Linked DNA regions of Drosophila melanogaster. Changing the gene in region 1 together with any one later gene gives a genetic interaction. Each region holds a gene or a part of one and is shown in the gene's direction. Other genes may lie near its edges.

What was found.
Region 2: of sca (region 1) and dx, changing one enhances a phenotype caused by changing the other (phenotypic enhancement), as found in Drosophila melanogaster (one study listed by BioGRID).
Region 3: of sca (region 1) and Hs3st-B, changing one enhances a phenotype caused by changing the other (phenotypic enhancement), as found in Drosophila melanogaster (one study listed by BioGRID).

Annotation. Positions count from the first base shown.
Region 1 is NT_033778.4:12,776,490-12,786,119, forward strand, and holds the start of sca (scabrous), read left to right. Parts: upstream 1-4,051; 5' UTR 4,052-4,373; coding exon 4,374-4,903; intron 4,904-7,121; exon of another isoform or gene 7,122-7,753; intron 7,754-7,811; exon of another isoform or gene 7,812-7,859; coding exon 7,860-8,253; exon of another isoform or gene 8,254-8,330; intron 8,331-8,388; exon of another isoform or gene 8,389-8,851; intron 8,852-8,910; exon of another isoform or gene 8,911-9,630. UniProt on the Drosophila melanogaster protein: Involved in regulation of neurogenesis. May encode a lateral inhibitor of R8 differentiation. In conjunction with Gp150, promotes Notch activation in response to Delta by regulating acquisition of insensitivity to Delta in a subset of cells.
Region 2 is NC_004354.4:6,530,116-6,542,041, forward strand, and holds dx (deltex), read left to right. Parts: upstream 1-3,883; 5' UTR 3,884-4,297; coding exon 4,298-4,786; intron 4,787-5,405; coding exon 5,406-6,689; intron 6,690-6,751; coding exon 6,752-6,894; intron 6,895-6,962; coding exon 6,963-7,263; 3' UTR 7,264-8,460; downstream 8,461-11,926. Other genes in the region: Agxt (Alanine-glyoxylate aminotransferase), read left to right, coding at 1-314, 383-554; RpL7A (ribosomal protein L7A), read right to left, coding at 1,011-1,316, 1,720-2,090, 2,183-2,306, 2,375-2,389.
Region 3 is NC_004354.4:19,244,922-19,255,757, forward strand, and holds Hs3st-B (heparan sulfate 3-O sulfotransferase-B), read left to right. Parts: upstream 1-3,717; 5' UTR 3,718-4,219; coding exon 4,220-4,402; intron 4,403-4,817; coding exon 4,818-5,281; intron 5,282-5,832; coding exon 5,833-6,340; 3' UTR 6,341-6,353; exon of another isoform or gene 6,354-6,529; 3' UTR 6,530-7,124; downstream 7,125-10,836. Other genes in the region: CG7992 (uncharacterized protein), read right to left, coding at 351-1,474, 1,816-2,073, 2,133-2,193; rictor (rapamycin-insensitive companion of Tor), read right to left, coding at 7,801-8,823, 8,881-9,610, 9,682-10,600, 10,670-10,794.

The DNA of each region.
Region 1 (9,630 bases):
TATGAAAGCAACACGGAATCACTTCTATTTAGACTTGAATGAATTCCATTTCACCAACCCAATAAGCAATATATTTATTTTAGATCCTTTGTTGTAGGATATCTACCAATTATGGCATTGCTATATATGTTTTAAATATAATTCATGAAGTACTAAATAAGACTTAATAGGACCAATTTAGGGTATCACATGGTCCATTCACATTCCAGCTCAGTGCAACTGCTTTTTGATTGCCTTATGGTGGTCAATGGCAGCATTAGCCCTCATTCGGTTGATGGCTTCTAGGGATTGTTTTTATGGTCTGTCAATGTGTGCTTTCCCCTGCATCCTTGCCGCCTCTTTCTCCTTCCTTTCCATTCACTCTCTCCGCGAAGAGCGTGCGAATGCAATGACAAGGAGACCACAAACAGCGCTGGTGCGTTGGTGTTGCCAAGAAAAAGCCACCGAAGTGGATGGCTAAAACGGAGGCAGCCGTGCAGCAACAGCCTTGAGTGATAGCAAAAGTATCTGCGAGTGTGAGTGTCTGACGCTGTGTTCGTGTGTATCTGTGTGCTGTGGCCAGAGTGTGTGTGTGTGTGTGATCAGCGGAGCATGCAGGCAACATGCCACACCACGCCAATGGCTACAAGTCCCAAAGTTGATGAAACAACACGTAGCGAAGCCTTGGCACAGCAGCAACACCAGCCGCTGCAACAGTAAAAAGGAAAAAAGGGAACAATAGCGGCAGCAGCAGCAGCAACAGCGGCAGATTAAATCAGGTAGGAAATTTTCGTTCGAGTGGTAAATTTTTTGCACCTGCCGTTAGCGGCCTCAGCCGGTTTGGAAGTCTTCTTTCAGTGCTTCCTGACTGCTTGACTGACTGGACGGCCGGCCGGCCAACTTACCTCAGCTGTTGCAGCCGTTGTCATTCAGATGATTAGTGCTCAGTTTGGAACTGCGCCTGCGCAGCGTTCTTGTCGATCGTTGTTTTTTGGCCAGATACTTTCAAAAGGCACAAAACTGTCGCCTGGTCTGGAAATGTATCGCGTGCGTGGTTGCGTGCTCCTTGGTTGCATGCCGCATAAGCGGAACCTGTCCTCGGCTCAGGCACTCATCTCGTATGCACACTGGGCAGAATCAACAATGCCTTAAGCCAACTTGATGAGCCCTCATCATTTGCCTGGCCAGAAAGGCCACGAACTGGTCAATGTGCAGATAAGAGACACCTGCTCCCGCATTCCGGCATTGATTGTTGAATCCAATTTCGTATACTCATTAAAATAAATGTGTTTTAAAGTGAGTTGAATTACTAGAGACGCATTTTTCGATTCCACTCACTTTTGGAATCTGTATGAAGATTATTTGTTTATAAATTGTTAAATATAATATATATTTATATATTATATATATATATATTTATATTATTATATATAAATTGCTAAAATATTTAAATTATATATAAGTTTAGTGTACAAGGAGTAATAATTCATATGGTTTAGTAGGCAATACTATAACAATAACTATTTTACCATTAATGATTTATGAGCAGTAGTGCCAACCTTATATTTTATTCTGCAGCCAGGTGTTACAACCCAGTTGGTTATTACATAAAGTGATTTGTTTTTAGTATAAGTGCAATTGGAAAGAACAATGCTGGTGGCCCATCAAATCGTATAGAGTACCTGCTTTTAGCACCTGCACGAGACCTCAAAAGAGCCTTCAATGGGAAGCACCCGTTGAAATCCCCATCGAATATGAGTGGAATGAAATTTGAACTCCATTCGAGTCGTGCCACGCTCACATTTAATACCAATTCAGGGAGTGAACTGGAGAGGACCGACAGACTTTCCAGGCCATTACCTTAATATGCTGACCATAACGTGAGCCATTCGCTGCCATTTCCAGCCACATTTCCCTGCATAAAAGCCAACAATATAACGGGCGACAATGAAACAAATGCTCAGTGGGGTGGTGGCATGGACACGAGGGCAAATGGTCGGCTAGTGGGGGTTGGGAGAGTGCCATGCAAATGGCGGTAGCCACCACTCCCAGGTGCAATGCCCCATCCCACAATGCACTTGTCGTGTGCAACAAGCTAGAACAGAATGACAACAAACAAAGGCATCAAATTAAAAACTAAACTGCGTCCACTCAAAATATGCAAACAGTACGGCCGGATGGCAAGGGCAAGTTGTATGTCCCATGCATGTGGCATGGATGTGCATGTGGCCACCGCTTGATTATGCAGCCACATCCATTGATGATGGCCACCACAAAGGGGCTGGCCAGCAGCTCCGGCTTGTTCTCTGCCTTCTCTGACCAACGTTCGCTGCCAGCACTACATTAAAAAGTAAAACCGAAAACGACATCGAAATAATAGGTAGTGCGCAATTGGGAGACCCGAAGATGGGAATACACTTGGATACCTTCAATATGCCCTTACCTTAATTGTTAGGCGATAATTGGAGAACATACTTTAATTGTTAATAATAATAACTAATGTACGCAGCTTCTACAGCTTCTAACTAAGAACGAGTTAAGATTTTTCGATGAATAAATAATAAATGAAATTATTGCTGGTTTGAGCTATTACTTTCTGTTGTAAAATGCCATTTATTTCAGCAGTTTTCTAGTAATATATACTAAAATTATAGATTATAAGACACATATATTGTTCTAGTTGACCAAATGCACGTTTGCCATTGCAAAACTCCTTGCAAGGGTATGAAAATATGGCAAATTGCAACACAGCTTCGGCAAGTGCCAACAATGGCAGACTGTTGCACCCCCTTGCAGTCGTTACTCTTGCCCCCCCCCCGCTTTTCCACCAATTTCCCTCCCTTTGCTCAGCCAAGCGCACATTCCATTCAGCTGACCCCGGAACCTGCCTCACCCCTTGTATATTTATGGATGGAACAAAAATAGTAAAATGCATAGCTTACAGCGCTTTTTTTCGGTGCGTAAGGCGGCATTTTTGGCATATTTTTTGCACACATTTTCCCCACTTTCGATGGGCCCCCTACCATTTTTTTTTGGAGCCATGTTGCAACATTGCAGTTAGTGGGCTTACGACCACCCATTCGATTGCACGCCTGCTCCTTTTTTGCCTGTGACTTTTGCAGCCGCATTCCAACTTTGCACTTTAAAACCTTTTCCGGCTTTTATCAGCGAATCGCGTGGGTGGGTGGTCGTGGGAGATTTATATAGAAATAGATTTATATAGAGATCTCCCACCAACTGTGCACTAAAAACAAATGTCCCGAAAAGCGGCAGATCTAAAGGGATTTCGGTCTGGAATGCAGGCAATAGTTGAGCCATTAGTATCTGATTTCCTATCAAGGTATTTGCTTCGAACATCCTTATTGTTTGGAATCAGGAAATCTTGTTCCCCCAGGTAACTACGAGGAATTCCAAAGACAATAGAGAGTTTCGCTGCTGCAGTTTCTTTTGTGCGCCTATGGGCTGTCCTTCCTCCTTGCAACTACCCGTACTCGGGACATTTGGCTCCGTCTGGTTTTTGTTCGTCTTGCAGTATATCTAGCACATCAGCATGTTTTCGCACTTCGCCTTCTGTCTGCCTGCCTGCCTATGGGGCCGAAACATCTGCCGTTTTCGTTGCAGTTTGTTTTCGTTGTAGTCTCACCGCAACCGCGCCATGTGTCAGGAGCAGGATGAGTGCAAAAAAGAAGCACCGGGTAACTAGACCGCCATTTTGTGTTGCTCTCGTTCGCTATCTGAAACTCCGAATGGTAACTGCTGCCTTAAAGACATGATCTTTGGTAATAGCAAACATTTCAAAGGACATTTTTCGGGCATCTAACATCGAGTTTATTCATTGATTTTCTCTTAACTTGATGCGTTCTCTTTGTCGCTCTCTTTCCTGCTTGTTGCATGCTTCGGGCAGGTGGCTGCTCTCTTCGGCACTCTTCCCCGGCAATTCCCCCGCTTAATTTACCATTGCCTTTACCGCAACTTCGTACTCGTCTGCTCTCTCGCTTTAGCCGAAGCGTGCCGAACGAAGCCGAGCATTCGGCATGGCAGCGAATAAAAGGAAGTGCCGAAGACGCGCCGCTTCAGTCCTTCGAAGAACGCCGCGCTGAAAACATCCTTCCATTGGAAGGTGCTCTAGTGAAATCGGTGATATACTTCATCCAGTGCTGCGAGCGAACTTTCCGTGGACCAAAAGTGAAAAGAACAGCTAAGCCAAGCAACAAGGATTAAGCCCGAGGAAACGCCTGGAATAATTGTAGCATTGTTTGCCAGCGCCTTTTTATAAGGTGTTTGACTGTCACGGCGCCGGAAAGTCAAGGAGAATTGTTTGTGTGTCGGCATGCGTGCCAGTTATTTGCATAAATTGCCCATCTAACTCGAGTTCCCTTTTTTGTGCGGTGTGAATGAGAGATTGGCAAACATTCCCGGACCTCCAAAAAAAGAAAGTTTCGCGTGACCATTTAAATTGCCCTGCAACAATGGCAGGTTCAAACGTTTTGTGGCCAATACTCCTGGCCGTGGTGCTGCTCCAAATATCCGTGGCATTCGTGAGTGGAGCGGCCAGTGGTGGGGTAGTCCTTAGCGACGTGAACAACATGTTGCGCGATGCCAAGGTGGTGACCTCGGAGAAACCCGTTGTGCACTCAAAACAGGAAACGGAAGCGCCGGAATCCAGCGTGGAGCTGCTCCGCTTCGTCGATGATGACGAGGATAGCGAGGACATCAGCTCCATTGAACGGCAGGATGGCAGGACAATGGAGAGCAAAAAAATGGCCGATCAGGTGCGCCTGTTGACCAAGCAGCTCAACGCCCTGATGCTGCGGCGCCGCGAGGATTACGAGATGCTGGAGCACAATCTGCGCAAATCCCTGCGGCTCACCACGAATGCGAACAGCGTGGACGCCGACATGCGCAGCGAACTGAACCAACTCAGGTAAGCTGGCCAGGCTTAACCCACCTGCTCTAAATCGAATTTGAATTTTTAATTTGCGCCGCGCACAGACACAGACCCGCTCCATTGGTCAATGTCTCGCTGGCAATTTGTGGGCCTAGAAACTTGGCGCTAACTTTCCCGCAGTCACGTAGAACTTGTCGCCCAACTTTGGCCAACAAATTGATGGCCCTCTAAAGCGGGCAACAGTTTGTAAACAGGGTGAAAAATATATCTTTCTTATTTAAGAGTCTAGTTTTAGTGTTAGATTTAATGCATTTAAATTAAGTTGGACATACAAATTTGTATACGTATGATAAGGTAACTGCGGGGCATGATACGAATCATGGTTAGTTGCTATATTTTGTCCTAGCACTCCTTTCACTTTAAGATAGCTATGATAGTTAGTCATTTCCACCCTTTAAAGTATTCACGCAATATGTCCATTTGCTTCGCAATCACTTGCCTTGACTAATAGGTATATGATAGTTGGCACACTCCTTCCTATCCAGCGTTCTCTCATGCTATATCACTGTTTTTCCCATCTTCCCTTGACACGGCGCTTGCAATTATTTACGACTGTTGTGACAGCGAAAACTTCAGTTTTTCCCTCCATTTTGCGAATCCTTCAACTTTTTCATTCGAGGCCAGTGCAATGAAGAATAGAATTCCTATGCGGCACATGATTGTGCTCCACTAATTCAGACAAATATGTGATGGGGAAAAACGCAGGAAGCGGCAGGATAAGACATCTAATCAGAGCAAAGACACGAGCCAGTGGCCCAGCCCAAGTTTGCGTAGCATTCGTGATTTGTTTTGTTGTCATTGTCATGGGCTGACTAATAATGATTGTCTCATCGAGCTGAACGCACACACATATATCAGTTTCGCCAGTGCCACTACCGGACTCTACCCACTACCACTCGGAATACCATCTTCTGTGGCAGCGTAAAAAAATACGTAAAAATGGCACACTCTTAATTTACTGAACAAATAGCCAAGGTTAGACCGTTGTTGTTGCTGTCGTGGACATCGTAAACTTTGTCAGTGACACCGTAAATAATTCAGCACACGCTCGTGTTTATACACTCCATATACATATGAGGAGTGTGTTTTGCAAAAGGGACTTGTCCGTGGAGATGGTGTGCTGGAGCTGGGGATGGAGCTACCAACTCCCAAGGCAAACGCCAGTCAAACGTCATGTCAGTTGTGGTTTATGTGATCCACTATCTCCGCCGCCCACACAAAACCGACCACATTACGTACCTTCGACCGACATTCACGCCCACTTACCGCCCAATTTCCACCCACCGCCCATCTGGATCAGCTTTAGCCGCAGTCCGCTCAGTCGGGCAACATCATTATCTGATTGAGCTGAATAGCGTGTTGGGCAGGTCCACTCTGTTGATTTGATAACAAGATTCGCTTCCAAAAGTTACACCGCTGCGTCCAATTTGGTAATTAAACTGGAAAAAAATCAGAAAATCCAGATGCGAACACCATCAGACGTCATCAAATCAGGTCCGATGAAGTTCGGCATTTGCAGTGTTCATGTTGCGTTTTCAATTTGCTCGCTTGTCATTGACAGCATTTTCAATTTTCCGTTGAATGACAGTCAGTGTTTTTTTTTTTTTTTTTTTTTTTTGGACGGAAAAAGCTGGTACGGCAGCCAAGCGAAAAATTGCCAGGCGAAAAGGGAAATTCGGTTGGTTTGGCATTACTACAAAAGTTGCCAATGGGCAGGGTTAGGAACTGTTATTTTTTTAGGGCTAGTAATGCAAGTTTTTCAGCTCCGTGCTAAAGAACACATTTTTATTCTATTTGGCATACCAAATCTTTGGCTATATGTGTACATGTGGAGTTTTGGGCTTCCGGCAGTGCTGGGTGGTCAGTTACGGCTTTTGATGTCCCAACTTTTGCAAGACCCCCGACCTGTTTTAATTAAATATTTAAGTAATTGTGTGGAAAACGGAGAGCCCAACAAATCCATAACTTTTCATAGTCTGTCTGGATGGGGCCACAAAAACTTTTGCAAGCCATAAAATTAACAAAAAACGCCCACGCACAATGCAACAATTTGAAATATTACGTATACGCTGGCTGGCATGAATAAAAACCTAACCGAATGTGATGTATGTATATGTACATCCACCACCAGTCAGGAGATGGGGAACACAACTTTTCTTTGGACCACTTTATTTTTGTCTTGTTGCCGGTTGGGTTTTTTCTTTATGAAAATTTCATGTAGCTGTGCTCTTTTGACAGTGAAAAATAAAAGTACAGCGGCAGCTGCTCTGCTTCTCCTTCTTCTTCTTCGGCTGCTGCTGCCTTTCGAAAAACAAAACTTTTTACCTACGCTCCGAATTTGTTCAGCTTCTTGCGGCTGTGCTTCCGTTTCCGCTTCCTTCCAACTGACTACTTTAATTGTCTGAAATGCCACAAAAATGCGTTTCGTTCGGTCTTGGTCTCATTTCGCTCTTATTTTTTGGTAGCTGGCAACTGCCACAAGTGCTACAACATTTTCATTTTCATTCTCAGCATTTAAACAACGTTTTCACCCAGCACTTGTTGTTTGCGGTCTGTTCGCACTTGATTTTTTATTTTGAATGTTTTCCGGCAAACTTTGCCATCGCCATTTGTGAATTTCTGTCCGCTGTCCGCTTTTCCTGATTTCTGTGATTTCCGTTTGTCGACAATGTTTGGGGCTGGTGAAATAATCTCGCAGAGCTTAAATTAAACGCTCGATGGAAATTTAGCGGTATCGAGGTGGGGCTGCAGCATGATTGAGTGCAGGTCAAAATCCCATTAGTGGACCGCACGCCAGCCGCATTGGCAATTAAGTTAGCCGACAGCCTGAAAATGTCAATTTAAATTAGATTTCCTGGCCAGAGTGTAGCAATTAAAGCATTACCTGCCCCCTGCTAATTAGAGACCTATTAAATTTTTTTTTCCTTTTCAGGGAGGAGCTGGCCGCGCTGCGCTCCTCGCAGAGTGGCAACAAGGAGCGCTTGACCGTCGAGTGGCTGCAGCAGACGATCTCCGAGATCCGCAAACAGCTGGTGGATCTGCAAAGGACGGCCAGCAACGTGGCCCAGGATGTCCAGCAGCGCAGCTCCACCTTTGAGGATCTGGCCACCATTCGCAGTGACTATCAGCAGCTTAAGCTAGATCTGGCCGCTCAGCGCGAGCGCCAGCAGCAGACGGAGGTCTACGTCCAGGAACTGCGCGAGGAGATGCTCCAGCAGGAGCAGGACTTCCAGCATGCCCTCGTCAAGCTGCAGCAGAGGACTCGCAAGGACGGCTCATCCGCCAGTGTGGAGGAGGAGAGCGGTAGCCAGGAAGCCAACCAGGAGGTGAGTACCTGCTTTATGCTAATCATCAGATAAGCACGCGACGGCCAAGGTAAAGCAGTCGTGCACTGGCAAAAATACTAAATGATTCCGTGTTTATTGTTACTTAAATGTGTAGGTTGAAAAGGATATACATACATATCTGTTTCTCCCAGTGTATCCTTTTATGACTCCCGAAAGAAAGCCGCTGGTTTGTTTTCTTTCTCCTTTAAGTGCGTCCCATAAAGCGGCCACCAACGTGGCGGGCCATTATCTGGCCGTTTTATGCCTTACTTTATACGCCAAACCCTCCGCCAGGTGAAGAGCGAGCGCTAAAGGTTGTGACAGATAGGAGGTTGGAGGTGGGTGGTGGGCGTTGGGCGTTGGGCGGCACGATGTGCTAACGAGTGGGTCCAAAATCGCAATCCGCCTTTTACCCCGCCGTTTTAACGGCCCGCCACACACACACACACACATGTTGGCCAAATTACTCATACGCACCGCAGGACGTTGTCGTATTTAATATTTAATGCCAGACTCGACCGTCCCTGGCAGCCACTTAGGCCTCACGTTCAATGCCTTAATCTCCTCCTGGGCCCCCGGGCGACTTATAAAGAGATTGCTGCAAATGATGGAGCCATGATCAGTGGCATCCTTTCGTCAAAATCCGAGCATACTTACTGGGGCTCTCATGTTGGGCTTACAGTGAATGATGTGGAGTTCTCGAAATCGGATCTGCATATGAAGGACTCGGACTTGGACTTGTACCGACTCCGACTCGTATGCTACCACATCCTAGGTGCAGGGATGTAAGGACTCGACACCCTACCGCCTCCTTAATTATAATTAATGTCAATAAAGGGCTTGCAGCAGCAACAGCAGCAGCAACCTCAACAATGGAGTGAAAACAAAGGCAGCTGGCAGGGGGGAGCCATGGCGATGGAAGGGCAGCCAGGTAACCAGCTCCAGGTTGCTTCATTAAAAGGATTATGCGTCAGACCGCTCCAATATGAGAATGCGGTAACGTTGTTGGACCATCAACGAAATATGTCAGTGGGGCCCTGATGCCCCTCATCCCCATTAAACTGGTTTGGCAGCCACCTGTTTTGATCTGCTTGCTGGCTGGTTTGCCGTTCCTCCAGCGTTATTCAGTCGTTTCGCTCCACTTTGAAGTTTGGCTTAAGCGAAATTTGCTTGCTTAGAAGCAAAATGTGTACACTTCTTGCCAACAAAATTCACGGGCTTGGCTGGAAATTGTATATGTGCTACGTTCGCCCACAAAGCCGAGAAAATTTCGACGAGCTGACGCAATTACTTGCGAGTCTCAAAGGGCGAAATAGAAATTTAAGAAGTATATGTGGGAATTCAAAGGGAAAAATACATCGTTTCGGCTTCGGTTTT
Region 2 (11,926 bases), on another chromosome or scaffold:
AAGGTTTACTACTTCGATATCCTGCTGATTGGTCAGTACTGGGGTTGCTATGGCACACCCCGCATCTACCACCACACCATATCCTCCACCCTGCTCTACGGATTGCGTGAGGCACTGGCCCACTTTTGTGCCGTCGGCCTCAAGGCGGTGGTGCGTCGCCATCAGGAGTGCTCCAAGCGACTGCAGTTGGGCATCGAGGAGCTGGGTCTTGAGATGTTTGTGTCGCGCGAGGAGGAGCGTTTGCCCACGGTGAACACGATTAAGGTGCCCTTCGGCGTCGACTGGAAAAAGGTGGCCGAGTACGCCATGCGCAAGTGAGTATTGTACAACTGGACGCGAATCCTCGATAGAGATCCGTATTGAATCCTTTCTTTTTTTCCAGGTACAGCGTTGAGATTAGCGGTGGTCTGGGTCCCACGGTGGAGCACGTCTTCCGTATCGGTTTAATGGGCGAAAACGCTACCGTGGAGCGCGTGGACATGGTGCTCAGCATCCTGAACGAGGCCATTCAGAGCAGCAAGCTGGGGATCAAGACGGATCTATCGAAAATCTAACAAATCGTTGCCCTGCTCCTATCACTAGTTATAAAATAAAAACAAATATGGAAAACTAAATGTACTTCCTTTTGTCTTTTGTTCGCTAAATGTTTGAAACATATGGCATGTGAAATTTGTTGTCATCTAGAGAGAAATGGTACAAAGAAGCGGAAGTTGGCCAAATTCAATTCAAGAAGACTTCTCTTTCTCACAGGCACAACTTCCCGATTGGCGGAAAACAAAGTGAGTGATGGGCATGGATACATCTTAGATTTATTGAATCCAAGCCGACGCCAAATCATCGACTCATCCAAAAGCACTCTCACAGGCACTTAGATTAAAAAAAAAAAAAACAAAAAAAATTGTACACTTAAAAGTTTATTAGTTATCAAATTCAGTGAGCATGGCCCAACTAATTTCATCCATGTGTACTTAAAAGTCTCCACCATCGGACCGGACCGGCTTCAGATTGAATCAACCCTGCTTCTGGGCAAGCTCGCGTGCCTTGGCGCGCTCCAGCTTAGAGATGCGGGCCAGACTCTTGGAGCCAAGGATACCACCGCCCCAGTGGCGACGGATCTCCTCGTGGCGCTCGTTGAAGTTGGTCTTCACAGCCTCCAGGACCTTGCCGAAGTTGGCCTTGTCGTTGTTATCGACGGTGGTCAGGGCGAGGGTGGTGCAGGTCTTGCGACGCACCAGGCGACCCAGACGAGCCTTACCCTTCACAATGCAGTAGGGCACGCCCATCTTGCGGCACAGGGCGGGCAGGAAGAGCACCAGCTGGAATGGAAATTAACGCGTTAATCAATTGTCGTCTTGGAAAACCACGTGGTTCGTGGGCTTGCGCATTGTATGCAATCAAGTTGCCCTCAATTCTTCAAATGTTAACTTTATCTTTGGCTTAGTTATTAGATCTAGTTGTTAGCTCTTCAACTAATTCAAAGATAAACCAAGGATTTAGCAATCCTTAACAAAGAATTAAGGCGTCAGGAGTCAAATTTCTACATGGCAGCAACCCACTCCGCCGGAGCAGGATAACCTGCTAGCCGCCGGAAGCGAGAAGCCTTGAGTTGAAGAAATTTTTTCATCATCGCAACGTGATTGAGAACCATGTATATTTGCAAATTTGCAAATATTTGGATGATGTGCAAGCTTTGAGCTGCGACAATTGAGTCAAACTAACCTCCAGAGGATCAACATCGTGGGCAATGACCACCAGTTGGGCCTTCTTCTGCTCGATCAGCTTGGTCACCGTGTTGGTACCGGCGGACACATAGCTGGGCTTCTTCTTGGGCTCCACATCCTTGCCCTTGGCCTTAGCCTCGGCGATCTTCTTCAGGCGCAGCTTCTTGGCCAGCGGCGACTCGGGGCGGTACTTCTCCAGCAGCTTGAACAGCTTCACGGCGGTGGTCTTGTCCAGAGTCTGGCTGAACTGGTGGATTGGTGGTGGGACCTTCAGGCGCTTCTGGAGCACAGCCTTTTGACGCTGCACCCGGATGTATTTGGGCCAGCGAACGAAACGGGACAGATCGCGCTTGGGCTGCACATTCTGGCCTGCAAAGTGAGAGAATATGTATACATTTAGCTAATATGTAAGAAATTCCGCTGCAATATTCATATATATAGAATATGTTTTGTGCACTTACCGATTCCGAAGTTCTTGGGACGCTTCTCGAACAGCTGGTTAACAACCTTCTTGACCACGGGCTTCTTGACAGCCAGAGGAGCGGGAGCCACCTTCTTGGTCACTGGCTTCTTCTTTGGCCTGGGCTGTAAACGCAATGAAAACACGCATTAGGTTAATTCGAGTTAACAGCAAATTTACGCCGATAACTCACCTTCTTGACAACCATTTTCAAGCGGTTTTAAAGTTTGCTACCGAAATAAGCAGTTGCTAAAAAAGAATTAGCACATTAATACGTTTTAAACTTGGTAAAGTTAATGGGAAAACACGCAAAACTTCGGCGACCAGCAAAACACGTGCATGAAAAATGTAAGTACGGAAAGAAAAAAAAAACCATGTTGCTTGCGTGTGTGTGTGTGTGTGTGTGTGATAATTGGGTATAAACAACACACGTTTTTTCGCAGATTTTCCGAAGAAATCTACTCCGTTTTCATTAAATTGAAGAAATATTACTTTCATTTTGATAACTTTGAAGTTTTAAGGTTTCTTTAACAACACTTCTACACACACACTCCATACACCTGCACCAACACATGCACAAAAACATGCCGCAACGCACATTTTTGTTCAAATGGGTTGGAATTTGGCAATTTCACTACAAAAAAAAAAAAGGTTTTCGGAGTATACTGCGTACTTCACGTGTTGTTTACACTTTGTTCTTTTAAGTGGCACATTTAAATCCGGCTTTGGAAGCCCACAGAAAAAAAATTATACAAAAAATTTGGTTTTGCACACATTTTCGCCGGCCGCGTAGTTTTTGGGTGAATTTCTGGAATTGTGAGCTTTACCTGTGATAAGCACGACCACGAACGTATCGAAATACTCGCTGAAAGTAAATAAAATATTGGTTTTTAGCACAAAATTCAGGACTGCTCGCTAGGCACATGCACTCACCGGAAACGTGGAACGAAAAAGAAAGGAAGTGGCAGTTCCAATGTTGGAAATCGAGTAGATTCGATCTGACCGTGCCACATTTGCACCGAAACGCCAAAAGAAGCGATATACCGAGGTGAGAGGCTATGCTTATTCTTAGCAGAGACTCGCTCCATTTATGTTTTAAAAATTTTAAGGTACATCAGATAAGTTAAAAAACAATGTTATTTAAGCGTAACTTCTTTTTTAATAGGCCAGCGCTTGAAAACGAATCAAATCGTGGTCAGAATACCTTTCGTTTAAATAAAAATAATATATCTAACATTCCATCCTATCTAGGACATACACCACAAATGTGATCGTTACAGCAAAGACATGCTCAAATTATGAATTTCTTAAAAGTGACCGATTTGTATTACCGAAAATCTTGAAAAGAAATACTAAATAGAAAGAAACTTTGGAAGCAGCCAGTGTTGGAGGTCGCGTTGCTTAAGAAAAGTAGCTTAAACTTGCCAAAGTAAATAAAAAATATTGAAATTAATATCAAGTAAAATCATTGCAAGTTCTTATTTTTTTCATTTCAATATAGAATTCAATTACACATATATTAATTGATTAATTAACAAGCTAAAAATAGTATCTGTTTATATTCAAGTGCAAGAAAAGAAAATAAAAAATATTAAACATTTAGCTAGATCTAGCTAGCAACCAGTTATGCCAACCCTGAAACTACCGAATCCAACTGGTGGCTGCAGATGCAGTGCGGTATTTTCATCCGGCCTTATTTAGCCATTTTCCGCTGTTGTCTCTCATTAAATCGCTGTCCAACAATAAAAATTTCTCGCCTGCGCTTGCGCTAAATGCTAGAAAAACTGTTTTTACCATCAAACGTGAATTCTTAAGCTGCGCCTAAACGAAACCGAGTGACTAAAGAACCAGAACGAAAACTTCGGGAAAATGGAAGCCAGGGAAAATCAGGGATAACTAACGCTGGCAGCGGGTCCACCATTTTTAATTTCTTTGTTTATTTTGTGCCCATCTTCGCGAGCGAGCGAGATAGCGCGACAGCAACAGCAAGAGAGAGCGAGAGAGAGAGAGTGAGTGAGTGAGAGCTAGTGAAGAGAGCGCAGGAGGAGTTGGATATGGAAATGGGCATGGATATGGCAATGGGCTCACTCCACGGATAACGGATCAACTGCAAGCAATGGCCAGCAGCGCCGGAAGTGCGGCATCCGGATCCGTTGTTCCCGGTGGCGGAGGTAGCGCCGCCTCCAGTTGTGCCACCATGGCCCTGTCCACCGCCGGATCCGGTGGGCCGCCCGTGAACCACGCCCACGCCGTCTGCGTGTGGGAGTTCGAGTCGCGCGGCAAGTGGCTGCCCTATTCGCCGGCGGTGTCGCAGCACTTGGAACGCGCCCACGCCAAGAAACTGACGCGCGTCATGCTGAGCGATGCGGATCCCAGCCTGGAGCAGTACTACGTCAACGTGCGCACAATGACCCAGGAATCGGAGGCGGAAACGGCCGGCTCCGGCCTGCTGACCATCGGTGTTCGGCGCATGTTCTACGCACCCAGCTCGCCGGCGGGCAAGGGCACCAAGTGGGAGTGGTCGGGCGGCAGTGCCGATAGCAACAACGACTGGCGGCCCTACAACATGCACGTCCAGTGCATCATCGAGGACGCCTGGGCGAGGGTGAGTGCCGTGCAGAATCGAATGTTTTCCCATTGGCAGTCTAGTTGGAATTTTGAGTTGCTCAGGAATTTTTTTATCGGGAGAATATATGGGGAATCTTAAAAGAGTGTGGGTTTACCACTGATCCTGAAGAATTGGCTAAGGATGCACCAGTCTGTGATGTGTCCATAGGTGTTTAAATAGTACATATAAGCCAAATTCCACAGTTCACATCTCAGCCAAAAAACGTAGTAGATCGAAGAAGTGTACCTTTTTGAATTTCTGATGCTTAGACAAATAAATCTGCATTTAAATTTTTTAGCTAAAATCAAATTAATTTTTTTTTCAAAAATTTCCATTTTTGCAACCTCAAAATGGGACAAAAAAATTGAAAAAAAATTTAATTTTCACTTTTGTAAAAGTTTGAATACAGAAACTTTCTGCTTTAAAAATAATGACTATTAAAATCATTCGCACTTAAATCGCTGGAGTTTTGGCTGAGTTATGGTATTATGATCAAATTTTAGGGGCTATATAAATTTATTCTTCTTCTTGCACAAAGTCCAACTGCAACCGCATATCAATCAATCAATATCATCAATTATAGATTGTAACATAACTTATTCCTACTCCCTTGCAGGGCGAACAAACCTTGGACCTGTGCAACACCCACATCGGCCTGCCGTACACCATTAACTTTTGCAATCTCACCCAGCTGCGCCAACCCAGCGGACCCATGCGCAGCATTCGGCGTACCCAACAGGCGCCGTATCCCTTGGTGAAACTAACGCCACAACAGGCCAACCAACTCAAGTCGAATTCCGCCAGCGTGAGCAGCCAGTACAACACTCTACCCAAACTGGGAGACACCAAGAGCCTGCACAGAGTGCCCATGACCAGGCAACAGCACCCATTGCCCACCAGCCATCAAGTGCAGCAGCAGCAGCATCAGCACCAGCATCAACAGCAGCAGCAGCAGCAACATCATCACCAGCATCAGCAACAACAGCATCAGCAACAGCAGCAACATCAGATGCAGCACCATCAAATCCATCATCAGACGGCGCCCAGGAAGCCGCCCAAGAAGCACAGCGAGATCTCCACCACCAATCTACGCCAGATACTCAACAACCTAAACATCTTCAGCAGCAGCACTAAGCACCAATCGAACATGTCGACGGCGGCCAGTGCCAGTTCATCCTCCTCATCGGCCTCGCTGCACCATGCCAACCATCTGTCGCATGCGCACTTTTCGCACGCCAAGAACATGCTGACTGCCTCGATGAACAGTCATCATAGTCGCTGCTCGGAGGGATCGCTGCAGTCGCAAAGGAGCAGCCGGATGGGCTCGCATCGCTCGAGATCGCGTACGCGGACCTCGGACACGGACACGAACAGTGTGAAATCGCATCGGCGGAGACCCAGTGTGGACACTGTGTCCACTTACCTCAGCCACGAGAGCAAGGAGAGCCTGCGCAGCAGGAACTTTGCCATTTCGGTCAATGATCTGCTGGACTGCTCGCTTGGCAGCGATGAAGTTTTTGTGCCCTCGCTGCCGCCATCGTCGCTGGGCGAAAGGGCGCCGGTGCCGCCGCCATTACCACTGCATCCGCGACAGCAACAGCAGCAGCAACAACAGCAACAGCAGCTGCAGATGCAACAGCAGCAACAGGCGCAGCAGCAGCAGCAGCAATCAATCGCCGGTTCGATTGTGGGCGTGGACCCGGCCAGCGATATGATATCGCGTTTTGTCAAGGTGGTGGAGCCACCGCTGTGGCCCAATGCCCAGCCCTGTCCCATGTGCATGGAGGAGCTGGTGCACTCCGCCCAGAATCCGGCCATTTCGCTGAGTCGCTGCCAGCATCTCATGCATTTGCAGTGCCTCAATGGGATGATAATTGCCCAGCAAAACGAAATGAACAAGGTGAGCACGCGAAAGCGATGCCAATTAGAAAGAGAAAGTTTATTTAAATTTCATTCCCCTAGAACCTTTTCATCGAGTGCCCTGTATGCGGCATCGTTTACGGCGAGAAGGTTGGCAATCAGCCCATTGGCAGCATGTCGTGGAGCATAATCAGCAAGAATCTGCCAGGACACGAGGGTCAGAACACCATACAGATTGTTTACGAGTAAGTGTGAATGTGCCTGTGGCCACTGAGCAATCAACTATAATCACTCTTTTTCATTTGCATGGCAGCATTGCATCGGGACTGCAGACGGAGGAGCATCCGCATCCGGGTCGTGCCTTCTTCGCCGTGGGATTTCCGCGGATCTGCTACTTGCCGGACTGCCCGCTGGGGCGAAAAGTGCTGCGCTTCCTCAAGATTGCATTCGATCGTCGGCTGCTTTTCTCGATCGGACGATCGGTGACCACCGGACGCGAGGATGTGGTGATCTGGAACAGTGTGGATCACAAGACGCAGTTCAATATGTTTCCGGATCCCACCTATTTGCAACGAACCATGCAACAGCTGGTGCACCTGGGCGTGACGGATTAAGGATTAGTTCCCTGTCCCCGAGTAGAACTACCAACCAACCAATCAACCAACCACCCACCCACCGAAGTCCCCTCGATCATTCTCTTCCATTCGTCGTTAAGTTACTTTCTACATAATCTCAGTGTGTGTGCAATCCTCGTTTACTATGATATATTTTTTTTATAGATATATTGTAATAGCGTTCGAGCTGCTCGAACCCTAAAACAACAGCAAACCACAATTGCAATTGTAGCTTCCTTTCCGCTCTTCCAATTCGTATTTGTACGCACATACGCAATAAGTTGGCGTACATCATATGTATTAGCTAGTTAGTTAGTTAGTTAGTTGTAGCTGTAGTTCCCAAGAGAATCTTGACCCAAGACACCTACTAGTATTAGGCATTATCCTGATTCTTGATTCCTGATTCGATTCAAGCCAAGCCAAGCCACGCCATTCGAGTGCAAGCTGTGCCAAAATCGTAGCGCTCCCGTTTATAGGATATGTATATTGTTGATATAGCTAGCTATAACCATTGCCCATCTCTCCATCTCTCTCGGTTTCGAATTTGTCTCTTTCATCAGATCCATGTGAATTTTCTTTATATCGGATTTATATAGGATTAAAATAGTATTTTGAGAGAGGAAATGGAGATGGGTAAATTCGATAGACTTGTCTCACTTGTCTTGGCCATTTAATCTCTTTCATTCAGCGAATTTGATGTGATTTTAATTTGAATTATTCATTATTAAACGGAGCATTTAGGAAGCATAGTTGTAACGCAGCCAGATATTCCATTACGCATATACATATACATATACATATACATACATACATAAACATATTTTAACATAGCCCCATAGCCATACGACATAACAATAATTTTTTTTATCGAATCCCTTGCATACATTTGATGAATTGTTGCTTTCATATTGATATCATCGAGCATCGAACGAACTATCGTATACATCGCCAATATATAGCATATATAGCATATAGTATGTAGAGATCGTACGGACAGCTAGCGGCTACTGACCGCGCCACCATATTTGATATATGATATGATATGATTTTACTAAGTTGTATTTAGCACTGATTAGTTATTAAAGTTCATTGCGAATATTCCACAACAAATTCCACACCATTTATGTATGCATATTACGCATATATAATACAGTACATTTATATATAGTTCAAATAAAGTAACTTTCATTCATGTTCAAATTAAGTCTTTCTTTTGGGATATTTATTCACTCATGTCTAAAAGGAAATCTTTCTTTTTGGACTTTTTCACTTATGTATGTATGTTCGAATGAGTTCTTTCTTTTGGGACTTTTTTCTTTATGCCTCTTATGTTATATTATTCACTCAATTGTGCCATGCTGCTTGTAAACTAATTACCAGCACAAGCTTAAATTCCAATTAGGTGGCTCTATGGCATTGTTGCATTGTTGCCAGTTTCTTACCAATGCGGTGCAATTCAAATCAATCAGTTGACATTTTTGGAACTTCCAAGGTTTAGCTGTTTTCAGTTTTCGGTTTTCGTTTTCAGTCTACGCCGCCGTGAATCACTTAAAATAAATTAATAAAAGACAAAAAATCCGATGCATTTTTTTTTTTTTGTCATTGTGCAGTGCAGCGAGTGCGTGATGTGTTGGTGATGTTGGATATGCTGGTGATGTTGGCGATGCTCTGGTGAAGTTGCTCCGGGCCATTTAAGGCGCAGCGGCAACAAGTTGAAGACGTGTTGTCGTTGTCGCCATGTCGCCTCTTCAACTGCCTACGTGCTGACGTCAGGCAGGCGCAAGGACAGTGTCCAAAAGTGGACAATATATATATAGCGTGGCCCAGAGCGGCTTTCACTGCTCCTCCTCCAAGGGCGGCCAATCATTCGGCCGCAGCTGTTCTTGTTGCAAGTCGTTAGTTTGGCATTAGCAGCACTTGGCCAAGTCTACGATGTGAAAGGATCGAGGAGCAACTGAAAGTTGTAGATTTCTCTGGCTTTGGGCCTGCTTCATATCTATGGATCATCAAGTGATCATTAGATATTGGGATATAGATACAACTCTTTTCAGCTTGAGCACTCTGGTCAGGTATCCTAAAAATAGATGCCTCTCCTGCTGATGCGGCTGTTTTCCTTGTGCCAGTTGCATAAGCAAATGTTTTCCTAGAATTTACAGCATTTCATGCAATCTTTATGCGATTTTATGCGACTGACAATGATCGCTGATCGTTGACATTCAACACACGCAACACGACAACGCGGCAGACAGAGCGCGATATATGCGAAGCGTGTGGCGTGGAAAGAGAGGGGTGACAACAAGTGCGTATTGATGATGAGATCGCTAATAAGGTGGTTTTGGCCAAAATAAACAAGCCTGCTCCACTGACCCTGTGACATTCGCCTTTTGTTTAATTGTTTTTTTTTTTGTCCTCAGCCTCGTCCTGACCATTTTCATGTTTTGTGACAGACACCAGCGATAAGGCCATTCGAACTGGTCTTCTTTTTCAGGTTCTACATCTATATCCATCTAGAAGAAAAGGCCTTAATCCTTAACTCTAACATCAGATATCTCAACTGAAATATATGGCAAACACACACAGTTTTGATGGTAAAAAACAGCTATTATATTGGCTCATAACCCAAAAACCACTTAAGTTTTAAGTTGCACAAGCCAATTGTATTGTATAACATGATAAAAGAAAAATTTTCCAATTCACGCGAGAAATCCATATTGGATTGCCATGGCAAAGTCTCATAAGAAAAATATGCAAAGGGTTTGGCAGGCATTGACTTTGTTCCTGTTTATGTTCTTGTCTTTATCTTTGTGTTCTTGTTCCTGTCTTTCCACTACACTCGTATATACCCCTCCCATTTGCGCACCCAGTGGTCATTAGTCATGCAAATGAGCTGGGATTATCAAGTTTTGTCGCTCTCTCGCTCGCTCTCACTTTCCTTATCGCTCAGGATCAGCTGACGCTGAGAGATATGCATGTTGCATGCACTCGCAAAAATAGTTCATAAAAAGAGCAGCTTAAGAAATGGACACTTTCGACCTGAAGGCAACTTCTTTGTTTTTTCAATAACCACTCGTATCCCAAATTTCATATCAATAAGATGGTGTTTAATATAATCACAGCTATTATTAAGATCCTAAGATCCTATACAATTTGCGTATCTAGAACGCCACAAAGTATGCTATGCTTGCTGCAAGCCACATTAAGTCTCAGTTTTTCACTCCCTTCTCTCTGGATATGCTGGACATACTTCCTAGTTGTGATCATGTTTTTCCCCAAGTGTAGAGAGCGTTGCAGTGGCAGTGGCGTCGACGCCGCCGCTTTGGGCCGCCGAGAGAGCCCGCGCCTAAATGCGGCAACAACAGCGGCTTGCAATCAGTCAAGAGCCTCCGCTCGTGCCAACCGCATCATTCGCCACGCCCCTCAGCCCTCCGCCTCCTTTGGCTTGCCGCACAAACCCAACATCAAAACTCACTCGCTGTTGCATTCGAAAAATAAAAAAAAAATTTTTAAAGTGTTTACGCGTTTAATTTTTTTTTTTGACTGTTTTGTTGCAGGACACTGCAACACTTCGTGCTTTATTTTTTTGTGAAATAATTAGTATTTGTTTTAAGGTGAAACCCGACTCCTTCGCGTTATTAGTCGCGTGTGACAGCAGCAACATCCAGCAAATAAACCGCAAATCAATCAAACAATCGGCAGAGTTGAAATAAAACAAAAAAAAAACAAAGTAGCGCCCGCGTTTTTAACCGCGCGCAAGTCGCTGGCAACTTTTCGCCGGAAAGGCAGGCGCAACTTGATCTTTCCGTAAATTAAACTATTTACTGTTTAAATATTTGTCAAGTACACAAAAATACATACGTTGCTGCTCGTTGTTGCGTCGTCTAAAGTTACAAAAGCCTTCAAGTCGACGTCTTTCTCTGATAATAAGCTCAAAAAACAGCAGCAGCAACAGGTGGGTACAATTGCACAGGTACTACAGATATGTAAGATATATATATAGTTATATATATATACATATATATATTGGGCGGAAGATTGACTACAATGTTTGGTGGAGGAATTCTAACAGTTTTGCGGTGATTTCTGCGGTTTTCTTGCCGCCTGGCGCCACCTAGCGGCGAATACTATGCTCATGGGAGGCACTGATTAAAAAAAAGTTTAAAGTCTAAACTTATTAAATAATATCAAAAAAAGAAACTTTAAGATGCTTAGGCTATTTTCATGGTATCATGCATTAAATCATGTATTTTATTGCCTGGCTTTGAATTTGCCCATTTTACGCTTATGCTTATTTTACTCGCCATAAATCTTGACTTACAAAAAAAAAAAAAAAAAAACACGGAGTGATTTTCGATAATAAAACGTTTTTTAATTGACCAACAGCAAAATATGACGGTTTCGTTTCGCCGTTTTGGTAATTCATGAATTTTATGCGATCGCCAATCGGCATTCTTAGGGCATTGGCCACACGCCAACCCACGCGATTTGTATAAGATACGGATTGTGCTAAAAAAAAAAAATATATATATATGTATCTTTTGGTCCAGCGGACATGGCTTTATTGGACAACTGTTGTGATGGATGACCCATAAATGCGTTAAATGTCTGCTCGTCTGACGTCTGAATGATTTGATTTGTGTTTGCATTTAAATAGTTATCGTAAATG
Region 3 (10,836 bases), on another chromosome or scaffold:
AAATTGGAAAAGAATTTACAGCTCTTTAATGATGATAAAGATACAACTGCAAAACCTTTTAGGCGGATCATATGAAAATGTGTATATCAGAAGTTTTGTATCTAATTTCCAAAGAATTTGACTTAAGCAGTTATAGTTCTATATTTAATATTCTTAAGTCGTTTATATGCCTTGATATATAGACGAAATTTATAGCTTCTTCAACTCAGGCTCCTATTTCTGTTGTCACCAATTGTATGTGGATAAAGACTGAGAAGTCTTTTTATTTTCGATTCATTAAATACTGAGTATTTGTGATAAGATAAGAAAGTGTGTGTGTACAGCTCGGGGACCTAAGCTCAAATTCGGGCTCACTGGTTGATGGTGGGAATGGTGCCGTCGTTCAGCCAACGGACGTTGAGCTGCTCGATCTGGTGCTTCATAAAGATGATGCCGTACACCTCGTACTGGATCTCCAGCAGCTGGGCGCGATGCGTCCGGGGCACCTTCATGCCCACCACGAGTGCCAGCAGCGAGGTGATGATGAGAAAGACGAATCCCTGGGCCATCAGAGTGCTCGAGTCGGTGGCATAGAAGTAGGAGTTCTTCGCATCCGCCACAAAGTAGAAGTACACGATGCTGGTGCAGATCAACTTGAGCACATACGAGATGCATATGATGCATTCGGTGAAGCGCAGATGGGTGACCTCCAGCAGGAGAATCTGCTGCTGCGAGTACGACAGGCCAAAGAGCACAAGGAGCAGCCAGAGCGACCACCTGGAGTCCGTAACGCTGCAGAGGATCATGGCCAGCAGAGTGAAGGAGATGAGGGCCACCTGCGAGCCCACAAAGGTGACCTTCACCGACAGGAACCACTGGCAGATGAGGGCCAGCAGGCTGCCCGCAAAGATCACCCAGAACATGCCGTCGATGCCGGAGAACTCTGTCAGCCGGATGGCCGGATTAAGGGCAAACCAGTAGACAAAGTACACGAACAGGGCGAACTGCACGGCCTCCGTGAAGAGGAGCAGTAGCATTATGTTCCACTGCTGGTTCTTGGTCACGTAGAAGAACTGCAGTCGCTTGATGACCTCCGATCGCTGCTCGAAGATGCTGCCATTCGAGTTGGCGATCCGCAGGTCGTTGTCCATGCTGTTCACCAGGTCGACGGTGCCCAGAAAGTGGAGCACCTTCTGGCCCACCAGAATGGCCAACACGGCGGCCGCCACACTCAAGTAGGTGCCGGCGAAGTTTACATAGATGCCATCGATCAGTTGCTCCGTGGTCACCGTCTGTCCGGCCAGCTCCTTTACATTCCGGCTGTAGGAGGCCACGATCAGGCTGACGGCGGACGCCACGCCCAGCAGGTAGCAGCTGCAGCTGCCCGAGAGGAACAGCGACCTGCTGCCCTTGGAGCTGATCGTGAGCAGGAAGCTATAGCCGGCCACGAAGGTCATGCTGTGCGCCAAGTACGATATATAGGCTCCGACGTGGTCTGAAGTGATAATAATAGTGGGATTAAGGAATTGGAAAAACTCGCTGAAATCATACATTCAAAACATTTCTTAACGATATTGATTTAAGAATATAGATTTCAAAATCTAGCCAAGATTGAATCATGCTCAACATACTCAGATCGAGATCGAATCATTTTCAGATTGCAAATCACTTTGCCTCTCTCTCTCTCTCTATTGGGAAATAAATTCAAGTATTGTTAACTGAAATCTATTTCAAAACTTATATGTAGAACATCCCAGTTCCAGCCATATAGATACAGATTGATTTACTTTTCACAAGCCTTTCGAAGCGAATTAATAGCCCATAGAAATGACTCACCAAATCCATCGGCAAAGTAGAAGCAGCTGCCTATGAGATTAAAGACTCCGGCTGCCAGGAGCAGCCATGGCTGCCAGTAGACGATGCACTTCTTCACGAACTTGACCGTCAGCATGGCCAGGGCAGTGATCAACGCCCAGCAGGCGCCCAGAATCAATGGTCCATAGTGAATGAGTCCAGCGTTGAGGTTCCGCTCCGCAACAAAGGCGCAGATCGTATAGCCAAAGATCATGCCGCAGGGCAGGAAGCACAGGCAGACTGGAAGTGAATGAGACGTAATCTCTGGACAAGGATCTCCATTGGCGTGGCTAACTCACCCACATAGCTGGGCGCATATTTAAAGAACTTCAGCACCAGTTTGCCCCACACATTCGACATTTTTGCGATAGATTTGCGTTAGTTAGTCCAGCAGCAGGGAGAGGAAGGTTCGTCTATCGAAGGAGCTTAGAGCATTTTAGCGAGCAGCTGGAATGGAGATGCCTACGATGCGACGCCGGACAAATGGCAAATGGGCCGGTGGAAGTCCGGCGGAGAATTCGACTGCGACGAAGGCGGCGCAGATAAGGCGATAAGATAAGCCAACCCGACCCGACCAGGTGCATGTGTGTGGTGGCCATGGATACACGGGCGGAAAAGTTGAGGGTTTGGGATTATCTAGCCATTTCTCCGCTCGGGTTCATGAATTATGATAGTCAAAAGGAAATCCGATTATGTTGCGCATCTTGTGGAGAAATTCGTTGGTTATAGATCAATGTTTTTTTTTGTACCTGAATGTATCTTTTTTTGAGCAAGTATCTATCTATGGCATTACTCGAAGTACTATATTTCCCATTTTATGTAAATATTTTTACCCCAATTTATATGATCGAATTTCCTGGCGCTTTTTTCGCCAGTGTATCCCAAAGTGAGTGACTAATGCCGCAGTGGAATAAGCCACTTGGACAGATAAACAGATGTCCGCCGGTTGATAAGCTCCTTGGCAGTTGGCCCAACTGAGGGCCCCTACTATTTACCACGCTGCCACGGAAACGTACAATTTTTTGGCCTTTCATATGCATAAGAAAACAATGTGGCAAAGGCCATTGGGCCATTCCAACGATAGGGCTTAAAACTAATCTCAAATGGCTAATGGTGATAGGAGTACGGGCAATAGAACGTCCGGCGATAATGCTTGGTAAATTGATTTCAATCCAATATTAAATGCCAGCAAGTACTTTATCAGACGCAAATGGGGTGGTTGGGTTGTGGGTGGGTGGTTGGTTGCCAAAGTGGGTGGGGGTAAGTTCTTGGTTAGTTTGTTTACCTTTGAGCGGAAAATTGATTGAAGCCGAGAGCAAAAAAGAGAGAGAGAGAGAGTTGCGACAGGAAGTAAGAAAATAAAAGGCCGTATACGAAAAGATTATGGTCGAATAAATATTAAGATGGCATTCCCAGCCTACATAACAAACTATATACATATATACATTTTTAGAAATAATAAAAAATATTAGAAATACTACTTAACGATTGCGTTTTTGGAGTACATTTTATCATGTATTCGTTGTGAAGTTAGAAATTAACAAATCAATAATGTCTATTATTATTGCTTAATATAAATATAACTTTATCAGACTTGGAAATTAATTACTAACTTAAGTGAAATACTTATTTATTAAGATTTGATTTGTGTAGAAAGCAAAGATTTCGTCAAACCCTCACAAAGCGGAAATTCTTCAGATTTTAGTATCTTTTGATTTAACTATATATGTCTGCTTTCTTTCTTAAAGACATGATGTGATAGCAAGCTGTCACTACATTAATTATCTGCTACATTCAAGACTTGGCACTTCTTTCGGGCAGTGTACATTTGCGACGTCACACCAACGGCGATTCGACGAGCTGGCGAGAGAGCAAGCAAAACGCTCAGTTGCATAAGCGTCCCGAGACGAGAGAGGATGTGTCCAATGCGCCTGTGCGCTTCCCAGGCGCAACCATGACACGGCCGCTTCCCCCACCCATCCTGTCATCCTGCACAAACGGAGCCGAACCGGCGGCCCAGGCAGCGCTTATCCGCTGGCAGGGCACCCCAATGTCTTGGCCCTGCCTTATCCCTGGCTTTCACTTCCGCAACTCGGCTGCGACGACAGCTCCGGCACTTGCAGGCCGAACTCGTAGCGCCAGCACCACCCCAACCACACCAACCACCCACCAGCCACCTAACAGCAGCAGCAACCACCAGCAACTACCAGCAGCTCCAGCGTTGCGAACAGCCCCATTCCTTCAGTTGACTTCGCGTTGGCGGTAGCCGCCAGCCGCTGCTGCGATTGCAAATCACAATCGGAATCCGGATGCTGCAGGCAGTGCTCCGGGGCGACTGAGTGGCAATGGAATTTGACGGAGCGCTCGGAACCGATTATACCGCCAGATGCGAGACACGGCAGCCACTAGCGCCCAGCCAGCCATGATTGTGATGAGCATCTGGTGCAGCAGCCTCAGCCTGAGCAGCCGCAGCCTGGCCATCGCCCTGGTGATCTGCGTGACTCTGGTCTACTTCTCCTACAGCTTCAATGCCTGCCTCCTGGCCAGCATCAGTCGCAGTCTGCAGCAGGTGAATATGTCCACGAATCACTGGACAATGTCTAAGTGTAGGGGCTAAATGTATCCAATATCCAATGCATTTATTCATGAAAACAAACTGATAATTGGAAAATCGAATATAAAGTTTCGCTACACACATGTGTAAAGTGGAGCCAACTCAAAATTAGGGGGGGGGGGGGGGTTGTAATAATCCCCAGCGGTTTCAAAACATTTAACAAGCTGTCCAAAAGTGTGCTGTGAAAAGTTTAAGTTTTGTCTTTCGCTGAACTTTGCGATGCTATCTACATACATATATACGATTATATATATGTACATTTATAGTTGCATACTTTTCGGCATACTTACAAGTTGGGCATTTTCATAAGCCAATATGTTGATATGTTTCGCACGATGTGTGGCATTGACCTCTGACCTCTCCCGCGCAGAGCAACTTACGCAATCTACTGGCGCTGACCTCCTCGCCCCGCAACGAGACCAATAACGCCGCCAACAGCAGCAGCAGCAACAGCAGCAGCAGCAGGAACAGCTCATCCACCACCGGTGCTCCGCCGGCACAGACGGTTACTAGCAGCCTGGATGGGGCGCCCAAGTATCAGCTGCTCCGTCAGCAGGGGCTCCGACCATCGCGCCACCTGCCCGACACGCTCATCATTGGCGTGAAGAAGAGCGGGACGCGGGCGCTGCTCGAGTTCATCCGCCTGCATCCGGACGTGCGGGCCGCCGGTTCGGAGGTGCACTTCTTCGACAGGCACTACCAGCGGGGACTACGCTGGTACCGCCACCACATGCCGTACACTATCGAGGGCCAGATCACCATGGAGAAGACGCCCAGCTACTTCGTCACCAAGGAGGTGCCGCAGCGCGTCTACCACATGAATCCGGCAACAAAGTGAGCTTTTCTACATCAAACCTATTGTGATCATAATCGTAAATTGTTACTCCATCAGATTTGATAGAACTTAAAAACGGTCAATTCTTAAAAATGATATTTTTAGAATACTGCACTTTATCCACAAGACTGTATTTAGTCATAGCATACTTTTTAGCACCTATAATAGAAGTGTTGAAAATTGAAGAGAGATACTTTTTAAGGCCGATTTGATATCCCTTAAATATTGAAACCGTACGTAAATCGTAGCATACTATATAATAAAAGTGTTTCAAACGCTTAGCTGAGATTTTTAAGGCGGATATCCCTTAAATATTGAGTCCTTTTAAATATGTGCTTTATACACAAGACTTTAGAACTTGTTTTAGGTTTTATCATACTTTTAAGCACCTTAAGTGAAATGGTTTTCGGAATACAACATTCGATTTGATCAACATAGAAGGGATTAACATTATATTCTAAATGCATTATGCGTTTTACATTAACCCTACGTATCTGGACCATCAATCACTAGCATATCTTCACTTAACCTCAATTTTATACGCCCGTAGATTACTGATTGTGGTGCGGGATCCGGTGACGCGGGCCATCTCCGACTACACACAGGCGGCGAGCAAGAAGGCGGACATGAAGCTCTTCGAGCAGCTGGCCTTCGTCAACGGTAGCTACTCGGTGGTGGACACCAACTGGGGCCCGGTGAAGATCGGCGTCTATGCACGCTATCTGGAGCGCTGGCTGCTCTACTTTCCGCTCTCGCAGCTGCTCTTCATCAGCGGCGAGCGGCTGATCATGGATCCCGCCTACGAGATTGGACGCGTACAGGACTTCCTCGGTCTGAAGCGCGTGGTCACCGAGAAGCACTTCTACTTCAATGCCACCAAGGGCTTCCCCTGCCTCTTCAAGTCGGAGGCACGCTCCACGCCCCACTGTCTGGGTAAGACCAAGGGGCGCAACCATCCGCACATAGATCCCGGGGCCATCGAGCGCCTCCGGGAGTTCTACCGGCCCTTCAACAACAAGTTCTACCAGCTGACGGGCATCAACTTCGCCTGGCCATAGGATCCACGGCTGGGTGAGTAGACGGAACTGGGATACGTGCAAGGCTAGTACCGAAATGGATTGGATTGGCCAGAGGCTAGGCACCTTCACTGATCTGCTCAATTTACATATCACATCCATCCCCATTGGAGTATGCTTGACTATCCCTAAGCCCTAATCCCTAATATCTGGTATCAATTTCCGTTTCAGCGGGCGTGAAATGAATGGAGTTTGAGAATAGGAGATATTGTTGTTGCTGGCCACGGCAACGGACTGATATTGTTGATTGCATTTTTGATACATATAATTGTACTTATATATAGTATATACACACACACATAAAGTTAGTGCTCAATTAATTGTAGCTTTATCAGGAGACAAATTCAACGAAGTGCGCAACCTGAAAAGTCCGCACTCAAACAATACGGTTCCTCACTCCAATTCAATTCAAATGAAATGAAATGAAATGAAACTCACTTTTCCCACTATACTCGAATGTCAGGCAGTTGGACGTGGAGGAGCCACGTTCGATCCGAGATGGACATGGTTCCCCCGTCCGCTGGGCACACACATTGCTATGTACTACCACTACCTAAGATCATTATACCTAAGATCATTATGTGCATTTATATACAAGAATAGTGAAAAAATAGAGCTTACTACGAAATTCCTACAGTCTCCTAAACTAAACATATACAAAATATTGTATGCATAGTTCCAACAATTTCAATTGCATGACTCAACCAATACGATTGCTTAGCCAATTTCAATTAAAAAACAAACTAAATAAATCGACCTTAAATCTAGTCAGCCCCTAAGAAGATTGTTATCTTTCCATACGATTTTAAGTAAATAGCACTTGCTGGGTTTAACTTTTTCAATTTTTATAGTTTATTGATTTCATTTCATTTTGGTTTTAAAGTGATTGTGAACGATTCACGGTATGCTTCTTGCTTTGTTTTCAACAATAATGATAATTTCTTGGTTTAAGGTTTGTGTGGTCTTTTTGCTTTCGCCTGCCACTGGGTCTCTTTTAGTTTTAAGTACATTAATTAAATAAATTGCGGTGGTTTGTGGTTGTTTCTTGTTGCTTCAAGGCAATTATCCAATTTGCTTTCGATCTGCTTCTATAAAATATGTTGGTACACGCTACATAAGAAAATTATATATTATTTTTTGGGATTTTTGTCGTTTGTTGGTTTCCTGCTTACGGTTATGAATTTCTTTAAAAATAACTATGCATAAGTGGTGATCGTAAAAGTAACTATGGTAATAACTTTAATTTTAACAAACTAGTCGAAAATAACTTAAATCCTATAGTACGGATTGCCTTAATCTACGTAGCTACATGTTCTTTGATTTGATATATTACATTTATCCGATTGGTTTCGGTTTAGGAAGGCGGGCGGCCAGTAAACGAGATGTAAGAGTAGGCAGTGCGTCCCCATTGGGCTACTTCAATTGATCTTCCGCCAGTGCGTCTAGGAGTTGTCACGCACAGTTGTCAGTCCCACACCACCGGATGCTCTTCTCGCCTTCGCCACCTCATCGAGGACCGCTTCCGATTTGGAGCTCTGCAAGCGCTTCTCGCAGTACAGGCTGCCCACCGGCCTGGCCATCGATGCCGACAAGCTCTTGGTCACAGTGGAATATCTTAGGGCTGACGAGGAGTCATTGCTGCCACCGGTCCGCTGCATAATTGGCAGCGCACTTGTATTCACATCTGTCTGAACCGTGGGCTTGGACTCGATTAAACTTTCGATTGGTGGAGGCGTTGGTGTTCGCTGGCTGCGATTCTTGATGGGAAACTTGTTCTTGGTGCAGCTCAAATCGAGCTCCAGCGTATAGAATCGTCCGCGTGTGAATTGCCGGTTTTCATTCTTTAGACTTGTACTAGCATTATCAGATGCGCTTGTCCCAGCACCAGCGGAGTTTGAAGTTGCCGCACCTGGCACCAGCTGGCTTGCTGTGCATGTGCCAATGCTGCTACGATTGCTGTTTCCTGTGGGCAGGGCTGTATGAGCGGTGGTCACCGAGCTGGCCTGGGTGCCGGCTCCACTGCCGTCGCAAACATCCTCACCGGAATCATTTTCGCCATCGGTACTGGACAACGAACTCTCCGTATCGTCAATGTGCAGCTGGTTCCGGGCCTTTGCTTTCGTTTGAGCATTGGCCGGTTGATCGGCAGGCGATGACTTGTTTATCCGTGGCGACTGGTCCATCAGCAGGTTCTCCCAACTAGTCTCATAAACGCTAGCCAGTTGGGCCGCCGGTTTAGGCTTGAGAATCGTTTGCTTAAACGGCATGGCCTGCATTGCCGTGGGGGCCGTGGCCTCTGCTTTTTCCTCAGCGGAAAACTTACGTGCCCCGATTATGAGCTGAGGCTCCACGTAGAACGAGTCAAAATTAAGGTCCAGAAAGAGCTCCTGCAGGAAGCGGCGGGCTATCATCCGATAGCTACTCCGGCCTATCGTTTTGCAGGCCTCCGAATAAAGGCAAATATCCTAGAGATAAAAACGTGGTAAGTACGAACCATCATTTGGATTTCAAATGAGTCTCACCTGAAAGGCGTGCGGGTGTTTCTGCTTAAGCTCCAACAGAGCCATTTTCGACTGCTTGGCACTAACGGGATTGGCCAGACGCTGCACGTTGTACAGAATGGAGGCCGTAAGCCTGTCCGGCAGGCTATCCTCGCTCAGCATGCTCTCTGGGGAATGGAAGCTGATGTCGGCGCCAAGTGCCGCTGAAGCTCCTTGGGCAGATGAGCCACTCTTTTTAGCCAAAACTGGTCCAGCCTGGATGCCGGCTGCCACCAGAGCTGCTGCTGCACTGCTGTACAGCTCGCAGGGAGCGAGGGATGCGCCTCCTCCACCATTACTATGGCTGCCGCTGTCATTACGCTGCTGTCGCGGGGAGCGGGCACAATGGAGACACAGACTTCGCGAGTGCTTGGCGCCTTGCTGCAATTGTCGTGTTTGTCGCCGACTTGCAGACGAGACGTCCGACAGCGATGATATAACCGATGACTCGTCGCCGCCCTCATTGGTGAGTGAGTCATTGAGACACTGTGGCCGTAGCATGGTGTTCAGCAGATTTATGCCCACTATATCTTGGTCCTGGATATCCCGCGAAACGTACGTTCGACTGAGGTTACGCGTCGGAAACAGGTCCAGAACGTTCTTAGGCAAGCAGATACCCGCATAGCATGGCCCTTTCAAATCATTAGGAGGCAGGAACTTGGGAGCATTAAGCGTGGGCAGAAGCACATTCAACTCGTCCGCGGAGAGGCGTCTATGAACAGATTACCAAGCAACGCTATTAGTACCTCTTAACGCGACTACCATCCACAAAGGATGACTCACCTATAAACATCACTTAGCTGGCGGTCCAAGCTGCGTACCTTAAGCCGACGGTGGGAATGCGTCCAGTCGAGCTTGCGCATCTGAACCTCTGGTGTGTCCAGTATTTCCGCAAAGTCGTAGAATTCCGCCGAAGATTCGGAGAATACGGGTCGGCTGTGCTTGCGCAGGGAGCGTAGCTGGACATAGCCCTTCATCGCCATAGGACTGAGGGTGGAGGGCAGCATACTGGTGGCTAGCTGATTTCGACGAAACAGCTCATCGCTCTCGAGCAGATTGGACATGCTTGGAATAGGACTCAAAGGGAATTGCTGTAACTCATTGGCTGCGGCGGCATATGCAGCTGCAGTGCGTCCGGTCACCGATTCGCAGCTGCTAACGCCGGAAGTGTTTGAATCCGTGCACGAGTTGTAGCGTATTCGATGCTGATACGGCGTTGGGTAGAGAACAGCTCCCGACATCGTACCTACACCACTGCCCAACAAGCTGATCACATCCGTGGTCTTCGATTCGGAGAGCGAGCGTTGGTGCTTGCCCTGACGCAGATTGCTACCTTCTGGCAAAGTCTTTGATTTGGCAGCCACTCCAACCAACATTCTGGGGTGCACATCATCGGTCGTGGTGCGAACACTGTCCGTGGTCGTAATCGTTGCATTTGGATCCTGCACTATAGGATGCATACCGACGACTGTGCCGGCTACACCCCCACCACCACCACTCGCATCAGTCTGATCGGCGAGCATGTGCCAAAAGTCTGAGCCCGTTTCGTAGAATCTTTCTATATAGTCATCCATCATGGTCATATTGTCCGCCGGCACGTCCTCGTAGTAATGTCGCACCGGTGTGTACTGGCTGGACATCCAATCCTCCGGCTGATGCACGGGCCACATTGTGTTCTTGTCATGTCGCACGCTCAGCCAGTCTGCAAAACATGCATTTTTCAATTAGGACACAATCAGTTTTTCAAACACATTTGTGATGGGACACTTACTCAACTTAAAAAGGATATTGGCACCTGCCTGTGTGCCTGCGATAAGACCTAAGGCACTAAAACAGGTGGCCCTCACCGAATATACCTCGCATTTGGTCACCAGAACAATAAGCTTCTCGTATAGTCTACAAACAATAAATAACTTTGTAACATCTTGCATCTTTTGT